2 linked regions of the Drosophila melanogaster genome follow. The protein of the gene in region 1 interacts with the protein of each later gene in a pairwise test. Each region holds a gene or a part of one and is shown in the gene's direction. Other genes may lie near its edges. The genes, in order: Pez and CG11899.

Region 1 (18,138 bases):
GCAGCTTAGCAGACGACGAGATGGAGTAGTAACGAGGCTGCAAGCGGGGCAGCAGCTCGCAAACGTGATCGATGGGTGGGCGACAGGATTTGATGTCCTCCAGAATGTGGACGATGTTGCGACAGGCGTCTTGGATCCAGCTCTGGTATTTCTCCTTTCCTGCAATGCAACATTCATTAGTATATGTTCGTGGGAGTTCCTGTTACTGGTACAGCAGTAATAAGTCTTGTGAATAATTTCTTACCTTCGGGACTGATGGAGGCCATGCTGCGCAGCAACTCCTTCTCCTTCTCGTCAGTACAATACTCAGCGAGCTCCTTGAGGATGTGTGTGCGGGGTATGGCCGTAATTTCCAGGTAGTGGGTCAGAGCGGTGCGGTACGTAGTGGGGCAAGGGAATGGGTGCTTCTTGCTGCTGTCCGTATCGGTGTTGATCAGCGAGAACACAGTATCCAGATCGGCGTTGCACAGCTGGCCGAGCTTCTCCACCAGACTCTTGTCGTTAACAGGGAACATGGCCACATGATCTCCGGCATCGTAGCGCATCTTGGAACCCTCGATGCTCAGCTCAATGTGCATGCAGGAGCGGCCACCGCCCTTGTGCAGCTCGCGGTTCACCTTGATGGGGGCCAGGAATGGGTTCTTGGCGTCGAAGGGCGGGCGCTGGTTCTGAATCGAGTGCAGGCGGGCGATCTCTCCCGTGTAAATGCGGTCAGGCTGCACATCTGGCTGTTCTAGCAAACGGTACTGGCGGATGAGCACTTCCTCGCCGCCGCCCTCGATGCCGAAGTGATCGCACACGGCGGGCCAGAAGCGATCCTTCCACGTGATGAAGTCATCCTCGATGCTTTTGGGGAAGTATCACTTGAGTATGGTTCACATTGTTGGCTACACCTTCATCACTTACTTGGCATCATCGTCGCCCAGTCCCAGTTCAAAGACCCGGTTGGCGCCCAGCTCCTCCAGTCGCTTGTCCACATAGATGGCCACCTTGTTGTAGTGCTCATAGGTCTTGTTGCCCAAGCCAAAGACCTGGAATCAGATAAGAGTGGATTTAGTAACTATAGAATGGAATTCAGTTAACTTAACTACTTAAAATACATGATGCATCTTAGGAACGCGAATTTCAGAGCACGAATGAACAACTAAGCCATCTTTTTTAATGAGACTCATAATAAGTTTGAGTGTTATCACTTATCAGTTTAATAGTTTGAACTATGATTGATTGTAGAACTGAACTTCATACTACCTTCCATTCAATTTTTCTTTTCGCGACAGCTGTTCTGTTACGTAAACTATTCAAAATGCTGAGCAAATTCAACAGCTTTTGCTGGCGGAACCTGACGAACAGGTGGGCAGATGTGGCGATCGAGCTCTGCATTTTCCGGCCGACATTTGCTGGATTGAACCGCAGAATTTCCACGGCAATTGTAAACAAATTGCGCAAGAACAGAGATCGACATTGAGCACATTGTTTTTCAAGAAGCAACTAAAAATTCCGTGCGACTGCTGCCAGTCAAAAGCCGACTGCTACGGCGCGCGAACCTGAACGACGCATTTTTGAGCTGCTAGTTTGGCGGGGAATTCGAATTGGGCAACTGATAAGGTTGATAATATAGAACTCCTTTTTGGTTTACTACCAGTTGGACTGTCGGCAACAATAAAATATGCTATATTTAACGTTGTTTAAAAGTCAACGAAACTAAGGTGTATGACACCTCCAAGGCTACCAAGAAACGATTAGATTTCTATCAATTTGTCTACGCTGAACTGCTGGCATTTGGGAGATGGGGAGTAATAATAGTAGGTTTATTATCAAAAACAAACTCTTCCGTGCGCGCTACACTATCAGGTTACAGCCTATCTGTTAATTAGGATCCGCCAATGCCATTTCAAATGTTTTCGTTCCGCTTACATCAGCTGTATTAAAACACAACAAACAACTCAAAGCGCAAAAATACGGGGAGATAGCCAAAATTGCGATTGGGCGTGGAATAAAAATCACTTATCAGTGGCACAATGTTTTGATAAGAGGAACGGACTCCGTGTTTGGCGAGGGGGACTCGTGTAATCAGTATGCATGCAGATAAGACCGTTCCGTGTGATATCGCTCGTACTCACCGCATAATTTAGCCCGCTCAGATCGACATCGCCGCTGGTGATCCACTCGTAGAACTCCATGGCGTTGTCAGTGGGATCTCCCTCGCCGTAGGTGGCCAGGCAAAAGACCGCCAGCGAGTTGTCGATGTCCTTCAGCTGCAGCAGCTCCTCCATGTCGCATTCCTCGGGATCGGCAACCATGCCCTTCAGACGGTAACGAATGCCCTCCTTGGCCAGACGGCCGGCGAACTCCTCGCCGGTTCCGGTCTGTGAGCCATAGAAGACGACCAGACTGCGTCCGGATGCCTTGAGCTTCTTGATGAACGAATTGTCCGACGCACTGGTGGTGCACACTGTGGTGGGTCTGAAGAAGGTAAAGATATGCGTTAAAATCTCAGCCAAATTTGAATCTTATCTTAACACGCAGGTAAACACTCAGATCAACGAATGAATCACACAATGGTATTCACACATTCATTTGCGATGTGTGAATCATTCAGCGTCAAATAATGGCCGATCGATTCCAACAAATCGGCGGAACATATGGATCTGTGACGGAATGAACCGAATAGATCTAGAGGGCATTTCATTCAAGAAGCAGTTTTAAATATTGAATTGTACGCGTGATATGCATGTTTTTTGAAAGGTTTATCAAGAAACTGACTATTCAATTCAAGAATTGCCATGGTTTTGGACTTCGGATTAGATTGCTTTAGATTGCTCAAATTTAACTATACTTACTGTATGGAATAGCTCCTGGTTGGCTCCTCCTCCTTCTTGCGGCTACGCAGGAAGTAGAAGGCTGCGCCGCCGATTAGCACCGCCAATAGGGCCACGTCCAGCAGTCCCAGGAAGGGTTCGTCGCCGCCGCCGCTGGGAATTGCGGCTGCTCCATCAATCGTTTGCTCGCTGGCCATGGTGGTACGTGTATGACTGCAAAAAAAGGGCACAGAATTCACGGCGCTTTAGTTTTCGCTTTGCATAACATTGGTCTAGCTCCATTTGCATGTCGCGCACTTTGGACACGCACTCTAATGTATTCCACGTATACCAGCGCTGGCGGCGTAGCATCGCCTGTGCGTCTAACGGTAGTCCGTCCGCTTCCGCACTTGTCTTAGCGGTGCAAGGTACCGCTCTAGCTGGATGTTCCGCCAGCGCCGCCGGTTGACATTGAAATCGCGCATCTGGTTTTAATCGATCGTACCTTGGGACGTTCCCGTTGCACTGACAACTACGACTACTCCGTCGATCACTTGCAGTGCTGCACTGGTGCAATTAAAGCTATGAATTCGATTGGATCCGCCTCTGTGGCGACGCAACGTGTGTTTCGCGTTAGGGAGCACTGCTCACTGACCGCCGGGAGCAACAGGTTTTATGCACGCGCTTATCGAATGCCGTCGCCGGTCGAGAGATATGATGAAAACGAGTAAAAGCGTTCGAAATGCGCTGTTCCCAAGCAAATACTCTTTGAGCGGCGCAAAATAACGAAATTTGATTTCCAATCACTCGATTAACACCTTTACCAGCCGTTGTTCCAGGAAATCGCCAATTGCACTAAGCAAAGGCTTTGGTACTTGTCAATGTGAAATCGGATTAAAATCATCCCAAACAAAATACATTCCCTTTCATTAGGATTCAGTTTATGAAGTACTTAAAGATTTTAATGTACATATACGGTTTGTATACGTTTCTTTACCCGAATTTATAAAAAAAAGCATAGGAAATGCAAATTGAGAGGGTTTACTTAAGCTAGAGTTTGGGTTTTGAAATGCACACTTGGAGTTCAATGAAATTCGCCCCGACTGCTTTGAGTTTTAACTAGTGCCGAAAGCATTTTTACTAGAACTCTCAACTTAAGCAGTTGGAAGTTTGAGCTGATCCCAGGTGTTATCTTTTGTTTTGTGGGGGCTTAAGGAGCTCTACTGAATTTTCACCTTGAATTCGGGTTTGACTTAATGCTTTAATGTTGCTAATGCGCCGCTACGTGCGTGAACTTTGTATAGAGTCGCGTAATAGTTCTTGTTGCTGTGGTCAGCAAAAGGCAGAAAATAAATATTAAACACATGCGAGGCATATGCAAATCGACGCCAGTATCGTCATTCTCGTCCGATTTCGAGGAAGGTATGTGTTCGACGCTCCCGATAACAACCAACACTGACAACAAGTGGAGGTGAACATAAAATTGGCGTCTTTTTATAGGTCACCCATGTGTGCTGTTCGATTGACGGAATGACGACAGCGCAATGATTAAATTGTGTTAGGAAGCACACATATATATCACGAAAACCAACAAATGTTCCAAAAATGTTAACATAAATTCGGTTTCTTTAGTTTTTTTTACGAAACAATAGATCCTAACTCGTTCAAATGTGTATATGTTTCCTCCAAAAACACTCTTTATTTGAGTGCTTCTTTTTCTAGTTTACGACTAAGTAGTTAATCTAAATGAATGAGATGAATGATCTTGGTTATTTCTGCTTAGCCATCTATTCAAACAAAGTTTACGATCTAGTCACAACAAACGCCCATCTAGTATCACCCTACACACTTGTAATGTGCGTGATAACGCTTAGAATCTCGCTTGGCATATGTGATTTTAAAATTCCCTAAACACGATGACACTCTCGAATTACTCGTCCGAATCGACGGAGAATTATAAAGTAAGCATGACTATGCATATTTATTTCGCGCCCAAGTGGCTTTCGTTATCATAAACCTAGTTTGGCTGTCTGGAAAGGATGAAATGTAACTCCGCGCTCACTTTAACCGAAGTCCATTAAATGTAATCCCATTACGGAACCTGCCCTTTTAATGGTTCTTTAATTGGAAGAACTAATAGTCTAGCTTTAATAGGTAGGTAACCCTATAATGGGGTGTCATAACATATAATATAATATATTTATTTAGTTTGTCTTTGAACTTGAATTTCAGAGAACTAATTTTTATCCATAAAAGTTCTTAGGAAGTGTACAACAATGTACAATTTTTATATTTTAACTGATTTATATATATGTAAATATGTATGTACGTACATACCTAGACTTGCAGTATCTCCTACTAAGTTCTTAGTTCTTTCAAAATGGAACGATTTTACAGAGTTCAGTTATACAAGGCAGCAAGAGTATACACACTTCGGCTTTTCGAACTAAGCCACTTTCAATTTCGTTGTAGTAAATTTTGATACTAGGATTTTGTTTACATCGTCATTAATGTGTGTGTGTTTAATTAGCATAAAACAATATATCGGTTGGCTTTTTTCACAAATTGTTTTTAATAAATTGGAAACTAAATGCAACGCCAACTCCAATTGGAAAATGTGTAAAGTTGGTGTACTTAGGATTTTCAAATGTTGATTTTTTGAATAAGGAAAGGCAGGTTAACGGAAATTAAGAACATAGCTTCGTCGCTCATATCGAGTGCTTACTGTACGGGAAGCAGACAGTCGACAGCTGTTCTCAGCGGAGAGCCACGAGCAGAAAAGTAACTTGATGGCCGATTGGCGACCCGAGTCGCGTTTTTGGTTATGCAATTCGGCCTACGACTCGGTTTGAGACGTGAAAGGCGGCGATACAGCGTGCAAATAGCGCAAATTAATAACAGAAGTGAATTAAATTAAATTACACGCAGCGCGGACGGAGTGAGCGAGAGCGCACTATCGCACGGGCGGCGGCGAGGCTGTGCGAGAGCGAGAGGGAGAGGGAGACTGGGCGAGCGCAGCAACAGGTACTGAACTTTAAACTCGCTCGCAGGGCTCTTCTGTGTGTGTGTGTGTGTGTGAGCGAGCGAGTGAGCGATACGGTTGCTCCATCATCTGTCCTCGTCGCTGCAACCTTGACCGCCAATGCAGCGCTCGAAATATCTAAGCAGCAAATTAATTATGGACTGGATTTCGATTTTGGTAATCGGGTTTTGCTTTTTGGATTTCGACAGTGCGTGGCCTTGTGATTCGGCTCCTCGAAACTCACCGATCGCGATCTCCGACTGCGCTGCTCCTAATCCTCTGTAGATAGACGACGATCGGTGGATGTGGATGTGGATTTGTGCCCCGTCTCTGGTGCTCTTCCTGTTGCAGCCCCTCTCAGCAGCTTGGCAGACGTCAAAGCCCTTGATTTAAATTCGCTTTATTCAGTTACGCAGCGGGGCGAAGCCACGATCTTAATTTTAATTCGCTTTATTCGATAAAACGTTGACGGAGGGCGGCAAGTGCAAAGGGGAAGTGACGACTACCACGGCAGCAGCAGTACTAAATTACTGAATTCCAGAGGGACCGTCGTCGAATCGCGGTGTGGATTTCTCAGTTGCGCGCACTTTCCAGCACTGGAGTTGGAACGGATAACAGAGCTATGCCAGCACGCCACCTATGTGTCCAGTAGCTCTGTTAAGTTTGATATTTTACTGTTCGCTAGAAACCGTTATTCTCTTGCTGTGTACAACGAAGTATTCGTGTGTATCAGTGGTTTTAATATCTTTAGGAATTTTATTTAATCACTGCTGACTGCATTGTTATATATTTTAAAATATAAACTGTTTTGTTTCAGTTACATATTTCTTGGTTGCACTTGTTTTCTTTAACAGAACTAAACCTATTTTCTTGCAGCCCACTGCGCAAAGACATACCGATAGTCAATGCCGCCTATCGATCCATTCGATGCCAGCCACCGAGATACTCAGTCAGCACCTGCGTATCGATATCAGCACTTCGGTCTCTTCGTTTTATTTCTCGTGAATTCCTTTATTTATTGTCGTTAACTGCCCAATTACTATCTTTAACTTTACTTAACCAATACGCGCAGTGCTCTGGTTTGCGTGTCTAATCAGCTGATTCAAATCGGCTAATTCCAATTGAGCAATTTACTCCCCCAAAAAAAACCTGTGGTGTCGATGGTGCTGCCGTTTTAGCCACTTTTGTGAGCCCAGCGGAGCCCCGGTGGAGCAAAATAGTCGAAAAATGCCATTGAAATTCTTGAAAAAGTGTCGCCAGTACAATGTTACGTCCAAGAGTTTGTTTGTTATATCAGTGCATCACCTGCTGGGTGAGTAAGCCCCACATTCCTAGAGGCGCTACGCCCCCCACAACAACAACAGCGACAGCAACGACAACAACAACAACAGCAATAGCAACAGTGGAGACGAGACAATAGAAACAACAAGAAATCGGTGACAAAGCCACAACTTAACAGCTGCCGTCTGCCATTGCAATTGGGATTATTTAATTGGGAATGTGCACAACGATTGTCATGCGGCGCCCACTTCCAGTTTAGCTGGAATTCGCCTTCCAAGGCACAGACCACAAAAATGCCTTCACTTGTTGCATTCTAGTTAACAGTCGCTGAGTTAACAGAGGCGCACAGGACACATAACAGCGACCGTTAATTCTAAAACTAACAGACTGCCTATGAGAACTTCCTAACTTTGCGTACTTCACATTTTGTATATTATTTACTCTCGATTTTGGGCTAAACAAAAGCATGTTTTGTAGTTCTTATACACTTAACCGAATGTACTTATTTGGCAAGCGAACTGAAGACCTTGACTCAATTAAAACCACCCAAATTTCTCCAACCATCAGAAAGGTTTTAGACATTAGGCCTACGTTTCGTTAGTTAGGAAATACGACAGATGAGAGAAGCCAATTGAGCGGCGCCGCCACAATTTCCGTCCATAAAACGTATAAGGTCTCGAAAGAGATTATAAACTTTATTTGCATATTTGCGCGTGCGACGGGCAGGGCCAAATTGTTGTTGTGCGGCGAATTTAGAGTGCTTGGAGCGACTTAGGCCGATGTTTGAAGCACGTTTTCACTCTTACCTACATTGCAGACACATCCAGCACAGTGGACTGCACGATCAGCTCGGAGAGCAAGGGACAGGAGTGCCTGGACAACGTTTGCCAACGTTTGCTAATCCAGCAGCCGGAGTTCTTTGGACTGCGCTACCTGGTCAAGGGCAAGGACAAGGAGGACGAGTTCAAATGGATCGACCTGGAGCGCTCGCTCAGTCGGCAGCTGGAGAAGTATGCGGCGGGCCCCAAGATCTACTTGCGCGTTCGCCACTACGTGACCACTGGCGTGCGCCACTTGAGCGACGAAGCCACGCGCTTTTACTACTTTCTGCAGCTGAAGAGCGACATCTACGAGGGCCGCATCGCCTGTGACATCCGCACGGCCATACTGCTGGCGCTCTACTGCCGCCAGGCGGAGTACGATAGCTACCAGGGCGACAAACAGAGCAAGGACTATCTGAAGAAGTCGCTGGTCCTGCCGCGCAACATGCAAGGCCTGGCCAACGATGACAGCATGCTGGAGGGACTGATCGTGGAGGTCCTGCAGCAGCAGGCGGGCATTGCACATCTGAGTCAGAGCCAGGCGGAGGAGATGTACATACAGTGCTGCCAGCAGCTGGAGGGGTATGGGGAGGAACGTTTCGCCGCCAAGGACACGCTCGGCAATGATTTGTTGCTGGGCCTGGCCATCAACGGGATGGTGGTGAACGCGGACAACGGTCGGCAGTATTTTCCATGGAAGGAGTTCCACACGGTGACCATCGACAAGCGAACGATTAAGATCGAGCAGAACAAGCTGGATGGTGGCGGCAGCATCGTGGGAAGCTTTATATTCAGCGAGGCGGACACGGCACGTTACTTCTGGAAGCTCACCATTAGCCAGCATAAGTTTTTCAAGCGCTATATTGACACGGCCACGCCCTCGAGCCTGGGAAGTGGTGCGGATGCGGAGAGTGGTCCGTTGGGCGTTGACAGCGTTGGTTATGTCGACTACGATTACAATGAAGCGGCGGCCGCCGAGCAACTGCAACAGCATCATCAGCAGCAGCAACATATGCAGCAGCAGCAACAGATTCAGCAGCAGCAGATGATTTCCTCCAACATTTCGCTGGCTACCAGCGCTAACCAGATGTTGGGACAAAGCAGCTCCTGCCTGGATTTGAGCAACAACAACCTGCACAGCAGCAGTGGCATGTTGCACCACGGAGGCAGCAACAACAACAATAACAACGATGAGCGGGAGCGCCTCAAAGCCATGCTGCCCACATACCGCCCGGCACCAGACTATGAGACGGCGGTCCAACTAAAGTACCGCACACCATCGGCGGAATTCCACAATGTGGCACTGGCAATGGCCGCGCCCGGAAATGCCTACTATGCGGGCTCCCAGCCTGATGTACACAATCCAGGCATGCACAACGAGAACTTACTGTATGGTCATATGACTGCGCATCGTTATCCGGACGTGGCCCAGCCGGCGGCTGCCCTACACCACCACATCAACCTGTACCAGGCACAGCATCAACCGCAGTCACATCCACAGCCCATGAGCCCCGCCCAGGCATACCTAGAGCTCTCGCAGCGCATGCATATGATGCGTCACAAGGCCCCACCGCCGTATGTCAATCGGCTGAGTTCCTCCTCCACGCCCGATCTGGCCGTGGCCACTCCCCGTCCCCTTCAGGGTTTCCGCAACTACGTAAGCGGCTCCTCGCCGGATCTAGTCTCTAACCGCACGCTCTTCAATGGCGGTCAGTACGTTGCTCTGCCCGCAGGCGGACATGCCGGAAATATTCCAACATCTTCCGGAGCCACCATGTTGCACCAGTACCAGTACGTGAGCCACATGGGGCACTCGCAGCCCTATCTGCCCCCGCACGGCACCTTCGAGAACCTCAACATGATCGAGGAGCAGCCGTCTATAATGTCCCAGCTGCGACAGTCAGCGATGAGTCAGGCAGCAGCTGCAGCTGCCGGATCTGTGGTAACGCAGAGGTAAGTGTAATGAAGTCGTAAAATAAACAATATAACAATACTTTTCGCTACGATCTTGCAGTTCACCTACCCTGCCGCCGAGTGGATATCGTAGTTCTGTGCCCCCGCCAGCGAGCAGCCCGCTTCCACCGCCGGTGGTTGCTTCGTCCCATAAATCGGCGACACCGGCGCCACTACAGAGGAGCTTGGTGAACGGTTCCATCGAGCCCATCTACGAGAATGTACCCCTGCCACAGAGAGCCTCTGGTGGCAGCAGTGGTGCCGCAAATACTGAGGCTATGCGTCAAAGAGCTTCCTCCATACAGTCCGCCCCAGGCGTTGTCCCTGTTCCAGCTGCTCGAAACGCCAGCTCCAACAACGTAGTTACTGTAACTGTCAATTCTCCACCCGACGATGGAAACATAAAGAAGTACGGCGCAGACCGAGCAGCAAGCACGGAGCTGCTGTTCCTGGAACCGCAGGCTCCTAAGCGGACCAATCGAGCCGCCAGTGCAGCGCCAGATATGGGAGCCACACCTCCGCCACGACAACATCGCTCAACAGCAAGCCTAAACAAGTCGTCGACGGTCGACATGATCACGCCGGCCGGAGACACGCTGCAACAGCAGTTCAGTGCCATGAATCTTTCTGCCAACACATCAGCTTCCACATCCTCCATGTTCAACTCAACGCTGGACACCACGTCCTCATCGGCGGCCAGCAAAGACTTAAAACGCAAGAAGCGATGGAACTTTTTGTCACGCAGCAAAACACCCGACAAACAGAAATCCGCCACACTGGGCAGGGAAAAGGCCACAACGGCAGGTCAGCACTCCAAGCTGGCGGCAAAGCTAAAGCTAGCCCAAGACGATCTCAACCTGCCAAATCGTTGGTCCACAGGCGTCAACAAGCCGCAGCCCATTTCTGGACGATATTCCAAGGACAAACTGGTAGGTTAAAAGTTATTACGATTTGGAATCCATTTCGATTAAAGCGCTTGTCAACTTCCAGTGCCAAATCCTAGACCAAAAGCTAAGTGACTCGCAGCTATTCATGGAGTTCGAACGCATACCGAAACGACGGGAGCATGCCCTATACGAATGCGCCCTGCTGGAGGAGAACGAGCCAAAGAACCACGACCCCAACTTTTTACCCTATGACGACAACAGAGTGCGACTGACTCCATGCCGAGACAATCGGCATGGTTACGTTAATGCTTCCTCCATATCTGTACGTTCAGTTGACACTCAAGATGAAAAGCAAATTGTGTATTTCATTGTTGGAACATCTTTTTCAGGCCACTGTGGGCACAAAGCAGCGGTTCTATATTGTGGCCCAGTCGCCACAAGAACCGCTTACCATGCGCATCTTCTGGCAGTGTGTATGGGAGGCGGATGTGTATTTGGTGGTCCAGCTAACCGAGGATATGAGCTATATTCCTCGTAACAGTCATCAGCGTCTCGAGTTTGGACAGGTAAGTGAACCGCATAAGCTTTTAGTTCTGTTCCTCAAAGGTTCTACTTTCTAGTTCCAAGTGTATCAGGAATTCTCACAAACCACCGATCGATGCACCACCATCAAGCTGCGCCTTTACCACGTACCATCGCGTCGATACCGATCCGTTTGGTATTTGCAGTACGCTGACTGGGCGGAGCAGAATTGTCCACGCGATGTGAATCACTTCCTCGATTTCCTCGAGGAGCTGAATTCCGTGCGATTGGCATCTACGCAAGAAGTTCCGCCGGGACATAACACAAACCCACCAGTTCTTCTTCACTGTCTGGAGGGAGGCGGTCGTTCGGGAGTGACACTGACCGCCGATCTTTTACTGTACACGTTGGACCACAATGAGGTGAGTGGAGAAAGGGAATTTATTATTCCATTTCCATAAGCATTATTTTCTTACGATCGCAGGACCTGGATATACCTCGAGTTATCGGGCAGCTAAGGCATCAACGGGATAGCATTATACCATCCCTGGCGCAATACAAGTTCATATACAATCTGCTTATTACCTATTTGAAGCGCACGAGGCTCATCTGAGGTTCTAAAGAATATGGAAAACTTGGCAAGAAGTATTTTTCTTTGTTTAAGCTTAAATTGTTTATATCGAACAAATTTCCTTTAGTTCTCGTTTTAAAAAATCAGTACAACTCCGTTCAGCAATTTTATATTTCTACTGGCAGCTGTTGTCCCTATAATCGTTAAATTTTAATACCAACTAGTTTTTAAGCTCTAGATTTGTTATAAAAACAGAACCCCCCACAATGGCCACTTTATAGATACATACATAAATATAAAAGTAGCGGATAGGTAGTTGTTTTGGCAAGCCAGTAAAAATGCCAGTTAACTAACCACAGCCACAACAATTGGGCTTAGGTTTAAAGCCGAACTATTTATACATGTGTATTTTAATAAATTTCGAAATAAAAACAATAACAAATTGATAAAAAGCAATAAGCACATTTAACTCTTATGCGACGTGCAACGTGTTTTTTCTTAAAAAATTATTCCCAGCGCGCTTCCCCAAAGAAAAGGTTTGAAAAAAATTAATTTTATTTTTGTTAATTTGGTTTGATGGTCCGAAACATAGTTAATACATGTATAATTGTCACATAGGTCTTAAAATATGAATTAAATGTACTTCATGTTAGTTTGGCGATCTGAAGACATTTTCATACAATACGTGGCAAAAAGGAAGACATATTATGAATTTATAGTCTTCAGATTTAGGACAAATTTTGTTTTTCGGTAATAAAAGCCAGACATTCATTTTTTAGACGTCTTCTCAATTTGATGAAAAGTTTAAAAATCTTTTTAAACTGCCCACTTTTTTCATTCCCCACTAGAATATTGAACATTTATAAGAAGACGTCCCCAGGATCTTTGAAAATCAAAGATACAATTAAAAGATCACTTTTTCAAGGTAATATTCATTATTAAATAATTTTATTTTTGTGCACCTTTGCAGACAAGTTGCAAAAATAAACGCTCAACATGACATTGAAAAAAGTCTCTCGTCGTTTTTCAAAGATTCCTAAAAATCTAATCATTTAGCTGCACAACATACAGATATATAAATACAGAAAATCATTAAGCAAAATACGCGATTTTTATTTATACAGAGTACAATTTAGGCTTCGATCTAATGTTTTTCTTAAGCCTTAAAAAGCAAATTTGGTATTTAGTCTAACTTAAAAGTACAAAGAGCACAATGTATACATATATAGCATATCCAATATCGTTTGATTTGATTTGTTTTTGTTTTCTCGAATTCAGCAAAACATAGTTTGATTTTCTCTTTGAAAATGAAGCGAGAAACGGGTCTCCACTCATGGTTTGTATATATATAGAGATTTCTTGTATATAGCTTGTATATGTAGGTTGTATATATATATATTGTATATATCTATGTATATAACAGGCATTCATGCACACACAAATATTCATATTGGAGTTCCTTACGTGTGAGAAAAATACGATCAAAAATGATTATATATGGTTTTTTATATGTCTCAGGTTTGTCTTTCATAACTTATTTCTGTCTTTCGTGGAAGTTGTACTTTGATGATTTCCTTTTTTTGTGGGCTAGTCTAGGTATTGCTAGGAGTTGTATAATTCTATACACAAATATTGCATTTGTCTGCCACTCTTCCTTTGAATTCTTCGGAACGAATGGTCAAAAATATATTCGAAAAAATGTTTTGTCTATCTCTCTTTTGGGCTTAACAACTAAATATTTGGAATTGGAGCGAAGGTTTTTCGTAATATATATGTATATATAGCGTTTAAAGGAGTATGCTTGTAATAAAATTAGCTTGTACATAAGTATTAAAGAAGTATAGATTAATGGAATTAATGGTGGCTTCGAGTTGATTCCGTTTGCGTTTCTATATCAATTGATCGTCTCGTTGTTGTGCTGGGCTTTAAAATTATTTTGTTCTGTTCTTACACTTGTAAATGCCGACGAAAAGTCTTCAAAAGAGTTTTAGTTGGGTCTGCTGAGAGGGTCTGCCTGCAGACGTTTTCTTTTAAGAGAAAAGGCAACTTCTACGCTGGCGGTGAATGATGGGTAGAAAGTGTGTACAAAGAATTTAGCTAAATTAAATAATAAATGGTAAGCCCTAACTAAAATTAAATTCTCAGTTACTAAATGTAAATACGCAATACAAATGGATGCTAGTAATATTTTTGCAGCTCCGTAAAGGGTAAAGGTGATCGGGGATACGTTGTTTCTGATTGCTGGCGAAATTGAAACCACAACCATTCACAAATTTTGGCAACTCTATCTGCTGAAATGAAAAGATCAAATTGTTAGAATTGATGACCTAAAAGTAATAATAACGTTTCAGAACCATAAGTACTCAAGTTGTTCTTGGAAACTGAAAGTCGGAGCTTATCTTGTGAGCTTATGGTTCTTAAGATATAACATAAAATCGACATACTTACAACTAATTAAATAAACATATAGCGGTTAAAACAGCACAATTTGATTCATTATTGATTCATGGGTGGCATGGGACATATGGTACACTTGGTGCTATCCATAAAATTTGGCGGGCCACCTGTGAAGGAGAAATTGATATAATTAAGGTGGGGTACATAAGTCAAGCTTACAAAACGTAGATCAAAACGTAGCTAGAAAAACAAGTCGAACAACCCGGTGTAACGCCTATTTCAGAAAGACCCGACTCAACTCCCGCTTTGCATTTGTTGTTTTGTCGTTGGACGGCAATCTGGAAACCATCTCTCTTGCGGTCCGGTCGTCTTACCATGCATGTGGTTCAGGTGCCTGCTGCCAGCAGTGCCCTGGTGGTGGCTGTAGATACTGCCCAGGGGGGGCACATTGTACGGCGGTGGCGGCGGTGGTGGCATGGCCAAAGATTGCTGCTGCTGCTGGAGCTGCTGATGCTGGCTGCGTGCGTGCATGTATGCTGCTGCCGTCGGCGGTGCAGAAAGCTGAATGGTTGCTGTGGGCTGGTTCGGTGGAGGTGTAGGTGTGCTGGGTGGTGTGTTTGTGCTTTGACAGGGACTGTTCAAGTTGCGGGTCACCGCGTTGTTCGATATCTGCTGAAGCAGCCGGCAGTCGGCTGCGGTATAGACCGGCGGGGATGGCTCGTGTTGCGAGCTGTTCTGTTGTTGCTGCTGCTGGTACTGCAAGTGGTAATGCTGCTGCTGATGCACGTAGCCGCTGTCGCAGGACGATATGGAACCTGTTGGGTGTGAAATTAGGGTAAAGAATATGTCTGAGATGGCGTCCGTGAAATGGTGACCTCCATTTGGGATTCATTTCATGGTACCACGTGGTGCAAGTGTGTGTGTTGTGTTTTCGTGTTATATGTATGTTTGCGTTTGTGTAGCCGACAACCAAACAATTCCAACCCAACCACCAAAAACTATACGTTTCAAATGCAAGCAGGGAACGGAGTCTAAAGCGCAACTAACAAGGTATAAATAACTGGCGACTACGATTTATTTATCGGGATTCGATTGCTAAGCATACTCGAAAAACATTTCTGAAGAATTCCGAAATTAAGAAACGCACTATATGAGCATACTTAGCATCGGGTTTTAGTAGCAGCTAATAACGTATTTTTAGTCGATATACAACTACGATCTTAGGGCACGAGGCACTTACCGGAAGTCACGGATTTGCGCAATGGTAAATCGCGAAATGTAGTTACACTACTGCTCTCTAGGGAGAGATCGACCGAGGGTAGAGGCGGCGGCGGAGCTGGTGTGTCCGAGTGCGACCGCTCGTGTATTGCGCGAGAGGGAATAATGTTGCCTGCAATGGACCCAATTAAGTTAGTGATATACAATGAGGCAGTGATAATAATTCCATTACCTCCAGAAGCCAGTCGTCGGTGGGAGCAGGGACTAGGACTTGGCGTACACTGAACATTGGCCACTGCACTGGTTGCCGGTGAGGTGACCACTCCTCCAGGCGACGGTGTGCTGAAACCATGTGCCGCATGCATGTGATGCAGTGGTGGAATCACTCCGGCCATTGTGGATCCGTGACGCGGCACGAATGGCTGGTGCGGCCGAATCTTGGAGGACTCTGACAGCGATAGCATCTTTTTAACTGCTTGTGGCGAGGCTGTGCCAAACTTTGGGCCGTTGTTATGCATCTGTCTTCTTTGATGATCGCTGGTAGAACTCGTTGAGCTGGTAGTCGAAAGGGTGGGTGAACTTGGGTGCCTCTTGCGAAGCGATAGTGAGGAGTTCGGCGCCGAGCTGGAGCTGGTATGCGAATAGATGCTCAGTTGGTCGCCGGCATTGAGGCTGGAACTGCCCCCGCCACCACCACCGGAGCTGCCACCAGCACCGCCACTGATGCTGCCTCCACCACCGCTTCGGTGTGAGGTATTTCCGTGCGAGATGCTGCCCGAGTACGTGGACCCGTGCGCGGGCTCGCATTCCAGCGAGAATTTGTGCAAAAGGTCCTCGTCACTGAGTATTTTGAGGCTGTTGAGATATGCTTTCACCCGCCGCACCATCTGCGCCTCCTCAAACATCTTCTTGGGATTGGGCGCCGCCGTCGACTTCTTGCGCCGCTTGATAGTCGCCTGGCCGGCATTGGCGGCGATAACTGTGCCAGCGGCAGCGTTGCTCTGCGATGCAGACATCTGATTGAGCGAGAAGAGAGCGTTGGATGGCGACTGCCCCTTGAGCTCAAGGATCGACAGCAGATCGTATGGCGAACTGCACATGTGCGTGAGCAGGCGTACCTCCTTGGCCAGCATTCGCAGCTTCTCAAAGTTGATTAGGCCATCAACTCTCGTATCATTGCCCAGGTGAATAAAGGTGAGATCCTTCTTGACGATCGGATAGAACGGGATGATGGGGTGCTGGGCCAGTAGTTCGGCGGACACTAGTTGCCGATACTTGCTCATGTTGCGCGAGGGATCCATCAGATCCTGCAGGTCGTTGAACAGTCGCTGATATTTGGAGGGCAGCTTCTCCCACGTTTGACGCAGTCGCGAAACAGCTCCGTGTCCAAGCCCCGAGACGATTGCAAACATGGAGTTAAAGTTACGGCACTCCTTGCAGTGGCGCGCAATTTTGATGAACTGCTTGACGATCTTCATGCGGCGCACAATGTTGTGCTCTGCGCAAATCTCACTCACAACCCAAAACATTTCACGATTGACCAGTTCGGCAAACTTGCTCAGCATTGGCACTCCGTAGCGTGAGCGCAACTCGAACAATTCGTCCACGTACTCGGTGGACTCAATCTGGCGAAAGTTCGCAAAGTCCTGTAGAGTGAGCTGAATGGCCAGCTCGTATGCATTCAGGTGCAGGAAGTGCACGTTCGACTCGCGTACCAGTTCCAGGGCCAGTTCGTCTGGAACCAGCGGTTCGGTGCTATCGTTTAACTTGAGGTAGTAACGCGCCGCAAAGCTTATTCGCTCGGCCAGGTTCTGCAGCTGATCGGGCAACCGGCGCTGCTTTACCATACCCCCGTCGCCAACACTCACTTCGCATAGCGAGAAATTCGAGCTGGGGTCGTGTATTCCAAACTCCTGCAGCGTCAGCATTACGACCTCGTGGGCTGTCGTCTCCTTGTAGATGAGTACATACTTGCACGTCTGGTCTGCCTTGTACACCTTGAGCACGTGGTCCGGGTAATCGGGCAAGAGGTGCGATTGCGTCGAGTTTGTTGTCAAAGTACTGGCCGCTGATGGCCGGTGAATGTGGGCGTTCAGGTAGTTCACTTGCAATCTTCCACCACCGTTTCCACCCGCATCGCTGCCTCCGTCATAGTTGAGACTGGTTAAATCCGGATTCGATTGCGACTGGTAGAGCCGGCCACCCCCACTGACCGTGCATCCATTGATAGACGACTGAGTGGAACTGCTGCACGAGCTAACTGCAGAAAGTTTTGACTTGGGATCGTTGAGCAGCGTATCCGAGGAGTCGTTTAGGCTGCTGCCGTGATTTTGCTTATTGAGCAAATTCATCTTTGCCAGCGCTTTCTGCAACCGACGCTTTGGCGCCAGAGTCATAAAACCGCCCTTCGTATCTTGCTGATCCGAGTTTGAATTCCCACCGGACTTCTTGGCCGAACTATTGTTAACGCTTTGCAAGAGTTGCTGCATAAAATTGGAGGCCATGTTACCGCTCCCACTCACTGGCGGCGTTTGCGGTGGAGCGCAGTCCGGCTGGTCAAGTAGCATATCGACGGAACTAAGGCGCACCATGTGCGCCCGATTCGAGGCGCTGACGCTGGACAATTCGTCGGTGGTGCTATCAGAGCGACCGTGCAACTTAGCAATAT
Region 2 (13,710 bases), on another chromosome or scaffold:
GGCCTCCTCCATGCGGATTTCGATTGAGAGTCCGCCTTGGATACGGATACTTGGCCGGGACAAGGACGAATGCGCAACTAAAACAAGAGAAGCCTCCTCGTACGGGGAACGTCGTATATAAATTATAAACGCAAACTGTGCGACAAGGATTTCTGGTTGGGTTTTCGGTTTGCTATACGGCATGTCTGCTCTTTCTACTTCTTTTTTTTTCAGTTTTATTTCTGCCGGTCGACATGCGATTTCGATGGCAAATGATTTTGCATTTGCCTGAGCGGTGGCGTGGGGCTGTGGGGTGGATATGGCGTATAGGGCGGCAAATCGAAGCATAAACGGGCATGCCACATGGTGCAAGTCGAAGGTCAAGGGTCATGCCGGCAGTCGGATCTCCTCGAAATTTACTGCAACACTTGCCGCCGGCGCAAAGGCATCACATTGTGGCATATATACTTTAGTTGTATTTATAGGCTGGATGGAAATTGATGACGTCTCCATCGGCAACGCCCCCCTGCCAGCCACATATATCCTCGAGATCCTTCGGCTGCGCGATGTCATGCCGCATGCAGATTGTCGTGCAGCTAGTAGCGAAGTAACTGCCACTGCAATTGGAGTTAGTTCACTGAAAGAAAGGTGATCCTAAAGCGAATGATATAGAAACAGAATATCGGAAAATGTAACCAAGTAAAGGTTTTTAAATAGATAGAAGATAACTATCCACTACTTTCTTCTGAGCTTTGCAAATGTATCTCAATCTAATCAAGGGTTTTAACTTCTTCCAAGTCTGAAAGATTCTTTAAATGCAGCTGACTTGTTCGTGATCACAGTTACACCCTTTTTCTTCAAGTGTTTGCAACGGCAACTGCCGCAAAGTCTGTGTTAGCCGGAATCGATCCGAAGGAGGAGCAGCGCAACTCGAGTCCTTATAACTTCACCTATACTGTGCATGTGCACATTCGCCAAACTCTGTGTGTATATGTGTGGCAAGGCGAGTGTGATGGTGTGAGTGGAGGCCAGACCATGTGCCTATGCCGTATCCTTACGCCTATGGATATGCCACGCGATGTGATTGTGAATGCGAAAATGTGGCGACGTCGAGGGAAAGTTGTGCTCCCAGCGAAGTTCGCTTTGGTTTGGTTGGGTTCGGTTCGCAGTGGTTTGGCTTGGCTTTGTCGGGGGGGGCTGCTGGCCCCAAAGCTTCTGGGCCAGGATGACGTAGTCCTCCGGCTGAAGTGTGTTAGTATGTCTGCCCTTCCGACTTGGGGTTGCACACACACACCAGCTCACAGCGTATCCATACAGGCGCAACGAGGGTGCGAAGGGGCATTAAATGGTTCGTGTTTTCCCTGCCCTTTTTCATATTTTCATTTGTGCCTCATCTCGCCCGTTTGTCGCCCATATTGGGGTCGCCTGACGGTTCGTACTTTAAAAGCGCCATTTAGTTCGCGCGCAGCCTAAATTATTAAAAGCAAATCCAACACACCGCACACAGGCAGTTCATTAAATTCAATGTATGCAAAATAGCGGCAACAAATGCGGCAAAAGGCAATCTTCCGCCACCCACCCACTCGGCCATCCAGCTGTTGTCATTTTCGAGCCACGAGCCTCAAAAAAGAAACAAGTTTGCGAGGCAAGCTCATCATAATCATGTGCCTTCCAAATGCAGGCGGAGAAAAGTGGGACACTTTTGCAAGAAAAGATGAGAAAATGTTTGAATTTCATCAGTGCTATGATGATATTTCACACAAATCATACTTATATACATACGCAGCAAGTCACATTTCACGAATGACAAATTCCATTGCCTACTTTTAGGCACTACCACAACTTTAGGCACCACATTGCTTTTAAATAGCCATAACTTTAAGATCTTTTATAGATTTCTGATTAGTTCAACTCTTTTCTGGTTATGAATTGTGTTTATCACAGTTTCCCCCCACAATTTGAAACTACTGCAGCGAGTTTTCGCTGCGTGTAGCAACTTTGCTGCGCAAATATGTTTCGCCAACTTCAATTTGTGTCCCAGGTAGTAAGTTTACCGCTGTGTGCGTATGTTTGAGGGGCATGCCGTGTTACTGTTGCCATCGCTGTGTGTGTGTGCGAGCTTGGCTTTTTTATGCGTCACGTGAGAATTTCCTTTATTATTATTTGACTTGGCTACCTCGGTACATATCACGTATACGCAACGTATAATTCCGCAGAAAGGGCATTGATTTTTTTGATTTGCTTTCAGTTCGGTTCGCCATTCCCCCCTTTTCGTTTATTACTTTGATTGCTTTTCACTGTTTTCTTCGTTTTATTTTTTTGTTTTTCTTTTTTTTTTGGTTTGAGGGCATGGATACGCTGCAGTTTGTGATTTTCTTTGCCCTGCTCAAGAAGAAAAATATTTGCTTGCCATTTATGTATATTCTGTTTTCATCTCGTTTTTTTTGTTGTTGTTTGTGTTTGGCACTTTTGGGCATTCGTTTTTTATTCTTGTTGCACGCTGTTCGGTTCATCACCACATTCACACACTTACACACTCATTCACTGACTCACACACACACACACACTCACGCGCGTAAGAAATATACTACTAAAATACAAATTGCTCACAATTTCCTTTGCTCTAGATAGTTGTTGTTGCTGCTGCTGCTGCTGCCTCGCACTGTTTGCTTTCCCACTGGATTTTCTCGGAAAACTCGACGACCACGCGCTTCGACGTCTGACCACGTTCTGAGCCGAATTTCCCACAGCCTTGGTGGAAAATGCGAATGTGGCGTTGGTGAAAAGTCTGCGAGGAAAAGTCACCATCAGGCGGCAGCCGCTTTTCCTCTCACAGGACCTGCGCATTTCCCGCCTGCAGGTGACACACTTTTCCGCGCCAACCGTCGCCGATGAAGTGGATTTTTCGACCCCTCCTCGGGCCACCGCTCCATCCCCCCCTCTGAGCCCACAAGCTCCACTATTTACATGGCACATCGGTTTAAGGCGGCTGGCAGTTTTCCTTCGTTTGCCCACTTTTTTCGTACTTTAGGTTGAAGTAAATTTCGCATGCATTGGCCGGAGGATGGATGCACTGAAAGAAACACATTACCAGCTTGCATATTATATATATATTATATATAGATATTAATTGATAAAATATTTAGCTTACTTATATTTTTAAACTCTATGATAATGGCATGACTTGATGCGTTAAAGTTTTGTAAATAGTGTATTTTATATATAAAAAAAATCAAAAATATCAAACAAATATGAATAGATTAATTCATAATAAAATGAAATTCTATAATATTTTTAGTATATTTTTCTCTGTGTAGCGTAACAAGACCTGGTGTGATGTGGCGCAAATGTCATTTTCAATGGCCGAAAATTTCGGTATGCTGCTGCCCAGTGCAGGGAGTTGAAAATTCGCATTCGCCGCATCCATAATGGATGATATGTCCTTTCGGCCCGCTGATCCTTCGGTTAAAGCAAAGCCACCGGGTTAACTGACCTTTGCAGTGCGGCCAACTTGAAATGCAAATAAGCGCCAATGTCCAATTGTAAAGTTCAGCAATCTAGAGTATTATTTATCACGTTTCAGCACAAACACATTGCCAAAAGCAAACAATTTAGTTTTGTGCGCAAAAGTTGCTGACGCTGGCACGTGCAATTTGAATAATTAACCGAACATTTTAATTAATGAAACAAGTTTGGTATTGACTTGGCCCAAAGTGTGAGTGCGTGTAGATACACACACTAGCACTTAAAAGTGTGTTTTGGCCCGAAGTGTTGTTGGTCATTTGCGCATTTATTAAATTAGAATTTGTGTGCCATTCGGTATGCTGTTTGCAGTGCTTGTGAATAACAAAAAAAAAAAAAAAAGATAATTAAAGTGAGCAGAAATAATTGGGCACTTTATTTATATTTTTTATTTAGTTACCATTCTAGCTATAAAATATGCTGCGAAAATAGGAATTATAAAACACATAGCTGTGTTGTGTGCCATTTGTTATAGTTTAATTGATAATTATTTCGCATAATTATTTCTCTTAATGAGTATAAACACTATTTTAAAACATTCCGAACAATTTATAAATGAAAATTTAAGCAAATGCTTAAAGTTAAAGAACTGACTTAATTATTCCATTTGTATTCCAACTGACAGCAGCTGTTGCAATTATCCCCCTTGCCAAAAACTAAAGTGAAAATGAGGTGGTGGAAAACCATATTCCACGAAGGAATGGCGTTGGCGGATCCCAGAAAGGAAACCGCCGACTGAAGCTGTGAAATGCGAAACGCAGCGGTATCAAAGGGGGAAAAGCGAACTGCCAGAAAAAAATCACAACTGAGAAATCAGAAAAAGGAAAAACCCAACCGGAGCCAACTCAATTCAGCGAAATCAACGCCAACGGCGGCTGCCTGTCAATTAAAACATTAAAACGCGCTGAAAAATGCAGCGAACAGGCGCAAAGTAAACAAACTGCGGAACATGTTGCAGTGCGGACAGCATTTTCCAACATTTTCCAACATTTTCAGCGATTAGAAGCATAGAATTTCGCAATGGAGCACTTAGAGCAGCACCAGAGTTTCGGGCCCAGACCACCAAACCGAGCAAAGAAATCCGATTCGTCGACCAGGGGAGGGACTAATGTGTGACCCAGTTTGGATCACTGTGCAGGAAAGGAACTCTGTGTGTTTTGGCCATTTGCTTTTTGATCATTAAAAACTGGTTGGCCGCCGCCAGCTGAGCGCCCCACTACATTTGCGGTCAGCTTAATAGCACCGCTGCGGCCATAAATTAGTCAAAGAAAATCTATTGGGATGGCAGCTGGCATCTGTCAATGATTTATTCTTGACACATCATTCCGTGTTAGTTCTTTTAAGAATTAAAAACCAAATAAAATAATAGTAATGATTTACGGTTGGGTCTTAGTGCAATTGTTTAGTAAATAAAGTTATCAAAGGCTATTAATTACTATTTATCATAACAGTTGATCAACAGCAAAGAGTTCTGGAAGAAAAGCGTGGAATATTCGTTTATATTTTTGCATATTTTTGAATATTTTTTTAAACAGTACAAATAACTTTTTAGAAAAAGTTTTATCGTAGTCAAGAAAAAGATGATTTAGCGCACTGACTTCTCCAATAGCTGGCTTTCTTGGATAGCTAAACGCTCCTATTCAAACACCCCCGACTGTGGCTATCTGTCCACTTGAACCGCCCGCCCATGTCTTCGGCGGCAGCGTCGCTTGTGGCATTGCCGCTTGGGTTTATAAGCGGCCGGCGATGGCGGCGGCGAGCCGAGTTTCAGCGTCAGATTAGCCGAGAGCGCGCGCGTTTTTTCCCACGATCAGGAAAATCGAATTCCAGAGCCATGAAGGATCGATTCAAGTGGTTGTCGCTGGAGCTGCTCCTGCTGATAGGCGCCGCAGTCGCCTTTCCGGACGGCGCTCCGGCGGACACGTGCGTGAAGCAGCGGGCGAATCAGCCGAATCATGGCAAGGCCCGGAGTCAGCCGGCTCACTCGAATCCGTACGAGGTGGTGGCCGATGCGCAGACCTACCATCCCGGCCAGCAGATATCGGTGGTCATCTACCCGCACTCGGACCAGAGCACCGTCTTCCGGGGATTCTTCCTGCAGGCGCGTGATGCCAACTCGAACGAGTGGATCGGCGAGTGGGTGCAGAGCGAGAACACCAAGACCATTCCAGAGTGCTCGGCCATTACGCACTCGGACAACCGGGACAAGCTGGGCGCCAAGCTCATCTGGAAGGCACCGCAAAATAAGCGGGGACAAGTCTACTTCACGTAAGTTGGAAGTTATAGGAGGAGTGGGTTAATTATATAGCTCAAGCCAATGGAATTATTAGAAAGATCTAGAATCTATAATCGAACTAACTTTCAGTGTTAAGTAGTGCTCTTACAGTCACAGCAAACAACTTAAATGCATGCAGAAGTTTCACTACCAACTTAATAAAATAAATGACCGCTTAGCACCCATTTTTTCGGACAGTTTCAATGAAGCACTTTGTCAAAACTGGCTTCGTACAACGCAGTTCGTGTCTTCTATGGCCCATCACCCTCATAATAATCATCATTATCATCGGAGGCGACGGTGGAAGTAGCATAAGCCGTGGCAACATCATTGTGCCTCGTGAAGGGATTCATTAATCATACGCCACGTTGACCCACATAATGTAATGCGCGCATAATTGTCAGGCGGACAAAAACTTGCCGGATAATCGCACAAAAGGCATTATGTAATTGATTTATTTGGAAAGAGCACACCCCTCATCAATGGTCCACAAAAAAAGGCATCAAACGGCAAAGACGCCGCACAGTGACAAGCTCAAAAAAGCCAAAGAAAAGCTGTCAATGCTTTTTATGCAACTTTGTCAACTTTGTCGGCAGATAACACTGGCCAACATAGACAAGTGCCAACTGTGAATTAACCACACAAAACTTATTTTCCGGACACTTGTCTCATTTGTCATTCTACCAAAACCAAAATATGCAAATATGGGTATTAATCACAAACAGACAAGCAAAGTTTATGGACACATCTTGCACAAGATCTGAAATCAATCATCATAGTACACTAAGGGAATTAATGCACAGAATTATAAGCTATAAAATGTATTATTTTCTCCATAACCATTTGATTTGAAAGTACTGTAGTCCAGTGTCGTCTCACCTTAAAAATCATCTGCTAATATTGCCTAATCATTGTCTACTAACTATTTATAGACTTCCTTGCGAATAAATTAGAAAAAATCATGACTTGCGAGCAACCATAAGAATTAACATTTTCACTTTTCGCTGCAGGGGCACTGTGCTACAGGAGTACGGAACGTTTTGGAGCGACATTGTGAACAAAGTGCAGGCGGAGCGGCCATAACTGAAATTATGTACTTACTTTTAAGGCAGCCGGGCAATAAATCTTAAAAACCCTAATTAGTCAAAACGAAATTGTTGTTTGAGGATTTTTTTTCGACTGCCATTCACCATTCCGACGTCTTGGACGTCGGACGCCAAAGGCGCCCCATTGAGCTGTGCAATCAACATTACAGGGCAAAATTATTGGCTTTTTGGCTCAGCGCTTATGAATGACCAGCCCACATCCCAGCGCCCAACGAGGCGAACCAGTTCCCGTCGCCCACCACAGACAGCACCTTGCCACCCACATCCGCCCACATCCTCCCACCCACTCCACTCCAAGTCCGAAATGGAACGCACGAGCCGAGCACGTTTGGGTTTCCAGACACGTTGGCCAGCTTCTCATAGGAAATTCGTTTTGGGCGCCCCGGCAAATTGGAAACTCTAAGCACCTTTCAGGCTGGCTGTGCTATAAAGTAATTAGACGGCCAACGAATTTGACCAAGACATAGGCCAAGATAAGTATTCGTAGCATAGGTCTAAAGCACTTCTGATTGATTGCCCTTACAACAATAGGAAGCGGATAAGGATAAGGAATCGGTTTGCAGATATGACCAGGCGTGCAAAAGAGTTCGCGGAATTGCTAATCGGCAGACGGTTTGTTTTGCTTGAAATTTACTACCAATTATGGTAGCCAACTTACTTAAGCCTTAGTTAAATATATAATGCCTAATATTGGTTATACTCTACAGATAATTCAATAAAAAGCTATGAAATCATAAACTCACTGTCGCATGCATCGAAGCTCCACTGTACATTGCACTTACACATTTCGCTTGCAGCTTGTTTACTCGCCTGCGAACTCAGTCGCTCGCTTGTTATTGTCATTCCAGCGAAAAGTGCATGGCAACCCACGCTGGCTTGGGGGCGGGGCACACACACGATGAAGTGGGGGGGTTACTGGGAAGCACTTTGTTTTCGTGCGTTGCACATATGTACATATGTATGTATGTACGTACATATGTAATTATATACGTTAGCCGACTTGTTTTGATCGAATTCGCCGTACCGCCGCCTGCCTTTGTCTGGCTTTATGGACTCCACAGGAGCGCAGCCCAAAATGGGGGGCTTGGAGTCGAACACCCTCCCGGTGGAGAATCCGTCCCTGGAGCAACCGAGTTCGTTGTCCAGTCGGGCGAATTTGAGTCTGGTTTTCCGCACGCGTTTTGTTTACTGTCCGGTGACTTGTTGCTGTTCTCTGTGCCCGCCTTCGTCTCGTTTATCAGCGATTGCGAATACTCGCACGGACTGCTCAACACTTTAGTCAATATTTAGCCGCTTCCCGGAGAGGTTCATAGATCGCAGACGCACTACATAGTATCAGCATGGTTATCAACTTCGCCGCCGGTCCAGCCAAGTTGCCCGAAGAGGTCGGTGAAATGGGTGGCACCACTCCACACACGTGACGTGTAATAGTAACCTTGATTACATGGTTATCTCTATCTGCATATATAGGTACTGAAAGAGGTGCAGGAAAATCTTGTCAACTGCAATGGCAGCGGCATCTCGGTCATGGAGATGTCCCATCGCTCCAGCAACTATGCCAAGATCCATGATGCGACCATCAGCGATCTTCGCGAACTCCTCAATGTGCCCAGTAACTACAAGATTCTGCTGATGCAGGGCGGTGGCACCGGACAGTTCGCTGCAGTGGCTCTGAACTTGATTGGCAAGACTGGCACTGCTGATTATGTAATCACCGGCTCCTGGTCGGCCAAGGCGGCCAAGGAGGCGGCTCAGTACGGCACTGTGAACGCGGTGCTGCCCAAGTTGGCAAAGTATACAACTGTTCCACGACAGGAGACCTGGAAGCTGGACCCAAATGCCTCATATGTCTACTACTGCGACAATGAGACCGTAGAGGGCGTGGAGTTCGACTTTGTGCCCGAGGTTCCAGCCGGTGTGCCACTGGTGGCCGATATGTCCTCCAATTTTCTGTCGCGTCCCTTCGATGTCTCCAAGTTTGGCGTTATCTATGCGGGAGCCCAGAAGAATATCGGACCAGCGGGCACCACGGTGATCATTGTCAGGGACGATTTGATAGGCAAGCACTTGAAGATTACGCCCTCCATCCTCAACTTTGAGCAGATGGACAAGAACAACTCCCTGTTAAATACTCCGCCGACCTTTGGGTGAGCCCAGAATGATACATGGCTGGTGAATTCTTTGTTAAACTTTCCCCTTGCAGCATCTATGTGATGGGCCTGGTTTTCAAGTGGATCAAGCGGAACGGAGGAGTCGCTGGTATGGCCAAGCTGGCGGCAGCCAAGTCCAAGTTGATTTACGACACGATCAACCAGTCGAATGGTTTCTACTACTGCCCAGTGGATGTCAATGTGCGTTCGCGCATGAATGTGCCCTTCCGTATTGGCAGTGCCAGTGGAGATGATGCCCTGGAGAAGGAGTTCCTGAGCAAAGCCGAGGCCGAGGGCATGATTCAGTTGAAGGGTCATCGGTCGGTGGGCGGCATTCGAGCCTCCCTCTACAATGCTGTAACGCTGGCGGAGACCCAACAGTTGGCCAATCTGATGCTGGCCTTTTACAAGAACAATAAAAATTGAACAGGTTCATCTGTAATTTGTTGGTTTTTGATCGTTTACAAAAGGCCGCGTTGGCGGAAGATCTCGTCCAGCTTGAGCTCCAGGTTGGCGTTGGTTCCTCGCAGATTGTCCACCACCTTTTTGGCCCAAACGAAGTACTGATCACGACGCTCCTGGAATGAAAATATGTGATCCATAAGGTTCCGTTTTTCAAACCAAGATGGGCCCAAATACCTGTGTCCACCCTGTCGGTGTGTTGACTTGCAGATCCCTTAGGTTATCCAATTTGTCAGCCAGCTTTATGAGCTTTGCTCTGCAGCTGCTTTTGGCTGCATTTTCTATTTGCAGGCGTTTTCTCTCCTGTTTCTCCAGGGACTTGTCGTCCGTCACCTCCCTCACTAGTCCACAAACATCCGGTCCAAAGAGTTTCTCAACATCCTCGAAAGATGCGTCCGTATCCTCCACGACATCGTGCAGAAGTGCAGCCATTAGGACTCCCTCATCTGTGATGCAGGCCTCCACGGAGAGAATAGTGCTCACATTGATCACATGGTTCACATAGGGGGTTTCCTGAGGATCCTTGAAATGTAAAAAAGATAGTATTCATGTTTTAAATATATCATTTGTTGCGTTTTAATAAGCTTACCTTGCGACGTTGCTGCCGGTGCTTAAAAGCTGCATATTGGAGGCACTCCATGAATTTGGCAGATGGATATGTGGCCATTGTTGTAAGAAATAATTAAATGAACGGGCCTTTAGTTCAAATTTAAAGTCTAAACCTTATTTTTTGCATTTATTTACATTTTTAACATAACAGCTGACTTAACAGACCGGCAAGAATCTATAACAGAGCAATTGTTGGTGCTTTACAGCGCGGATGGTTAGGCCCTGGAAAACCTATCGATAAATAAAAAGCGCGGCATTCATTTAAATTCAAAAACCTTTATTTAAACAGTTCACCAAACTTAGTCCTTCTTCTCGTTCTGGTTCTCGCACTTGTTGCACTCCTGCTCCTTGGCCTTGCGCGCTGCTTTGGCGGCCTCCTCCGCCTCTCTTTTGGCCTGGGCCTCCAGTTCGGGAATGAAGAAGATCTTGCGAGACTTGAGCGTTGACCACTTAAAACGCTTGATGTAGTAGGAAATGCCAATCAAAAAGGTCGAAATCAGAGTAACTTTGATGAGCAGCAGGCGACGTTCGTCGGTCTCCGGTTCTGAAGTCCACTTGAGGAAGACGCACACATCCTTGGCAATTTGGGCGGCCGAAGCAGGCACATTTGGATCTTCAAAGGAGACCACCTCATTGTCAACTACCTTGCCCATGGCAATCGCTCCGCCCGAGAAGTACGGATTGAAGTACAGTCCATCACGAAGGGCAAAACCAGCCGGAGGATCACAGTATCCGGTGAGCAGGGAGAACACGTAATCCTCGCCGCCCTTGCGAGCCGACACAATATAGCTGAGATCCGGCGGATAGGAGCCATTGTTGGCGGAACGGGCCGCCTCCTCGTTGGCGTACGGAGAGGGGAAGTGATCGGACAGCTTGCCGGGACGCTCGTAGTACTCGCCCTCCTCGTTGGGCCCATCCCGCACCGTGATGGCCTCCGCCTCGGCCTTGGCCTCCGCCTCCGTCATGCACACTCCCACCAGGTTGCGATAGGCCATGTACTGCAATGAGTGGCAGGAGGAGCAGACCTCCTTGTAAACGGTGTAACCTCGACGCACGCTCTCCTTGTCCAAGGCGGACAAAAGCCCTTTGTGATTCCAGTGCTGGTGGGCCGGATGCACGCAGTCCGAGGAGGCATCCACGCTGGTTTCCAGGGCGTAGATCAGCAGCCCTGCTGTTCCGGTTAGGGCTCCCAGGGCTCCCAGCAGCTTGCGATTTCCAGTAAAGCCGCTTCCACGACCCGGAAAACTTATCCGCGGACGCACCGATGTCCGCTGGATGCCGCTCATGGCCAGCTGGAAAAGTTTGCTGTTCAGACTCCTGAATTTGTTGGCCATTTTCGGTCGGATTCAGCTTTATCTCTCAAAACGATTTATTTACAATGTCAACGCAACCAGTGTTGGAAAGCTCTGTCGACTGGGGTTGTCACCACTTGGGGAAATATGTTCTGTCGAAATGAAATCACGTGTGTTGCGGTAAGTTAATATTTTAATTATTATATATTAATTTAAATATAACACCATCACATGCAAAATTACGGATCAAGTGAATGGCTTAAATGCAGTAATAACAATATACATTATCAATTGAAAGATTAACACTTAGGAATCTATCTTTACTGTACTCACCTATGGCAAAATATTAGACTTCCTCCTTTGATGGCAAAAAATCGTCATTGCGAAGAAAATATGTAATTGTTTGGAAATATTGAAATGTGTAAAAGTATAAGCTTTTTCACAACAATTTTTTAATGACATTTCACACAAAGCCGGCAAGAGCAACCTTTACCTACTAATTAAGATACATATCGATCGAAATGCACTTAAAAGCTCTGCTAAACTATTTGGAAAACATCTAAGCCCCTCTCCCTTGTGTAAGCAGTATTAAAAAAGTTAGTTTCTGGAACTACAGAGAAGGCAGGATGCTTAGAAATCCCAGCACAGACTTTCTTCCACATCAAGCCCAGCTTAGCCAGATTCTTATCGGTGATCTTTCTCCATAAAGCATATGTAAACCAAAACCCACCCAAAGTGCTGTTATTCTTCACAGCTAAAAGGTTGAATCAACGTTTTTCTCTATTGTTGTAACGATCGCCTCCTTCTGGGTTTCTTTCCTGTCCAACCAGCGGAGCAACTTAAAAATACAAAAAAAAAAGCAAATGCCAGGGCACTTTCATTTGTTATCTGGCTCAGTAATCTGTAAATCGGTAACAGCCCACCAAACAACGGTGCATACAATATTTCCTAGCCATTCTTCACACTGTGTGACCACGAAATCGTCAAAGTCAGGCCCAAGCCAGCTTTTACAACAGCCAAGGAGTAGGGGCGTCGGCTTACCGCAATTTTAGGGGGGCTCAGAATGTGGGCAAGGTAGTAATGAAGCAACCAATAATTGTCATAAAGCTGCTTTACTACCCTTCAAATTAATCAGAACCCACTAAACTCCATTACAATGCTTGGATTGTAAGCTTAGAGGTGATAGTTCCATAAAGGGGAACCCCCTTTTCGACGCCTATGGCAACCAATAATGACAATGCACTGTCGACGTCGACAGAGCGATGTAAACTCTATTTTTTTTTTTTTGTTTTTGGTGAAAATTTGTACCTGATTTTATATTTCCCTTTTTTGTTACACTCTTTTTGTAGCTGTTGGTCTGGTTTTCTTGTTTTTTTTTTTTTCAGTTATTACGTATTTCCATGTTTACCATATTTTACACGCGCTTACAGGCACACAGATACAGATACTTCCACGGATACAGATGCAGATACATTTACCCCCGGATTTTCCCTATGTGCGTTTTTAGAGTTCTGCTTCTGCGCAGCGATGCATAATTCCCACTTTTGAAATTTGTGTGCGGTTGTTGTTGTTGTTGTTGTTTTCCTCTGCGGTGGTGGCTAAATGTTGTTGTTGTTGTTGTTCCCGTTGCCGCTGCGCAATTAATAATTCTTTTCGACTGGCGTGAAATTTTCATAAGCAAGAAAAAGCAGCAGCAACCGCACCAACTTTCCATGAAAATCTCCGGCCATTAGTAGCAATCGCAACGCTTTTCACCGTGGAAAACCGCAGAGATTGTGCTGCGACCCCATAGAAATGGGCTCACGTCATGAATTTTATTCAAATTACAAACTCATTAATAAATGGCGTTGTTTACATTTAAGTAGAAAACAAAGCGGGCATGATTGTCCAATTTCTAGATGATTATATACTATGGTTAGGAAAATCTATCACGGAATATATGATATAAAGAAATGCAGTGGTATTGTGATTAATTGGAATCTGCATATTTCTCCACTTAACAGCGAAGGATGTGTTGCAATCCTTTTTTCCCAAATTGCTCGTATTTATCAAAGGAGTAACTGCACTGAAGTGGTCTAAAATATGCAATTGACTTCGGGGTAAACACAAAGACCGGACTATGTCCAAATCAGATATAAAATGCAAGAGATATGACTTATCAACTGAATAATTATTCGTGAAAAAGATGGGCCTGCAAATAAAAATACCCGAGTACGGCACAAAAAAGTGTGCATAATTTAGCAATAAATGTAAATATTACTGGTCAGCTTCCTTTGGGAGCCAAAGCGCCATGCTGCTGCAGTTTCCTGTCCTCC

The links.
Region 2: the proteins of Pez (region 1) and CG11899 interact in a two-hybrid assay, tested with the Drosophila melanogaster proteins (one large-scale study listed by BioGRID).

The regions. Positions count from the first base shown.
Region 1 is NT_033779.5:6,327,052-6,345,189, reverse strand, and holds Pez (Pez), read left to right. Parts: upstream 1-6,518; 5' UTR 6,519-6,542; intron 6,543-6,696; 5' UTR 6,697-7,047; coding exon 7,048-7,132; intron 7,133-7,918; coding exon 7,919-9,875; intron 9,876-9,936; coding exon 9,937-10,804; intron 10,805-10,865; coding exon 10,866-11,084; intron 11,085-11,151; coding exon 11,152-11,328; intron 11,329-11,382; coding exon 11,383-11,706; intron 11,707-11,768; coding exon 11,769-11,897; 3' UTR 11,898-12,309; downstream 12,310-18,138. Other genes in the region: Cpr (cytochrome P450 reductase), read right to left, coding at 1-159, 245-846, 907-1,031, 2,121-2,463, 2,841-3,016; PDZ-GEF (PDZ domain-containing guanine nucleotide exchange factor), read right to left, coding at 14,547-15,067, 15,493-15,642, 15,703-18,138.
Region 2 is NT_033777.3:29,192,299-29,206,008, forward strand, and holds CG11899 (uncharacterized protein), read left to right. Parts: upstream 1-8,155; 5' UTR 8,156-8,222; coding exon 8,223-8,267; intron 8,268-8,352; coding exon 8,353-9,029; intron 9,030-9,085; coding exon 9,086-9,458; 3' UTR 9,459-9,472; downstream 9,473-13,710. Other genes in the region: CG14515 (uncharacterized protein), read left to right, coding at 5,336-5,769, 6,787-6,859; Mesh1 (metazoan SpoT homolog-1), read right to left, coding at 9,494-9,610, 9,672-10,016, 10,084-10,161; Cyt-c1L (cytochrome c1-like), read right to left, coding at 10,403-11,437. UniProt on the Drosophila melanogaster protein: Catalyzes the reversible conversion of 3-phosphohydroxypyruvate to phosphoserine and of 3-hydroxy-2-oxo-4-phosphonooxybutanoate to phosphohydroxythreonine.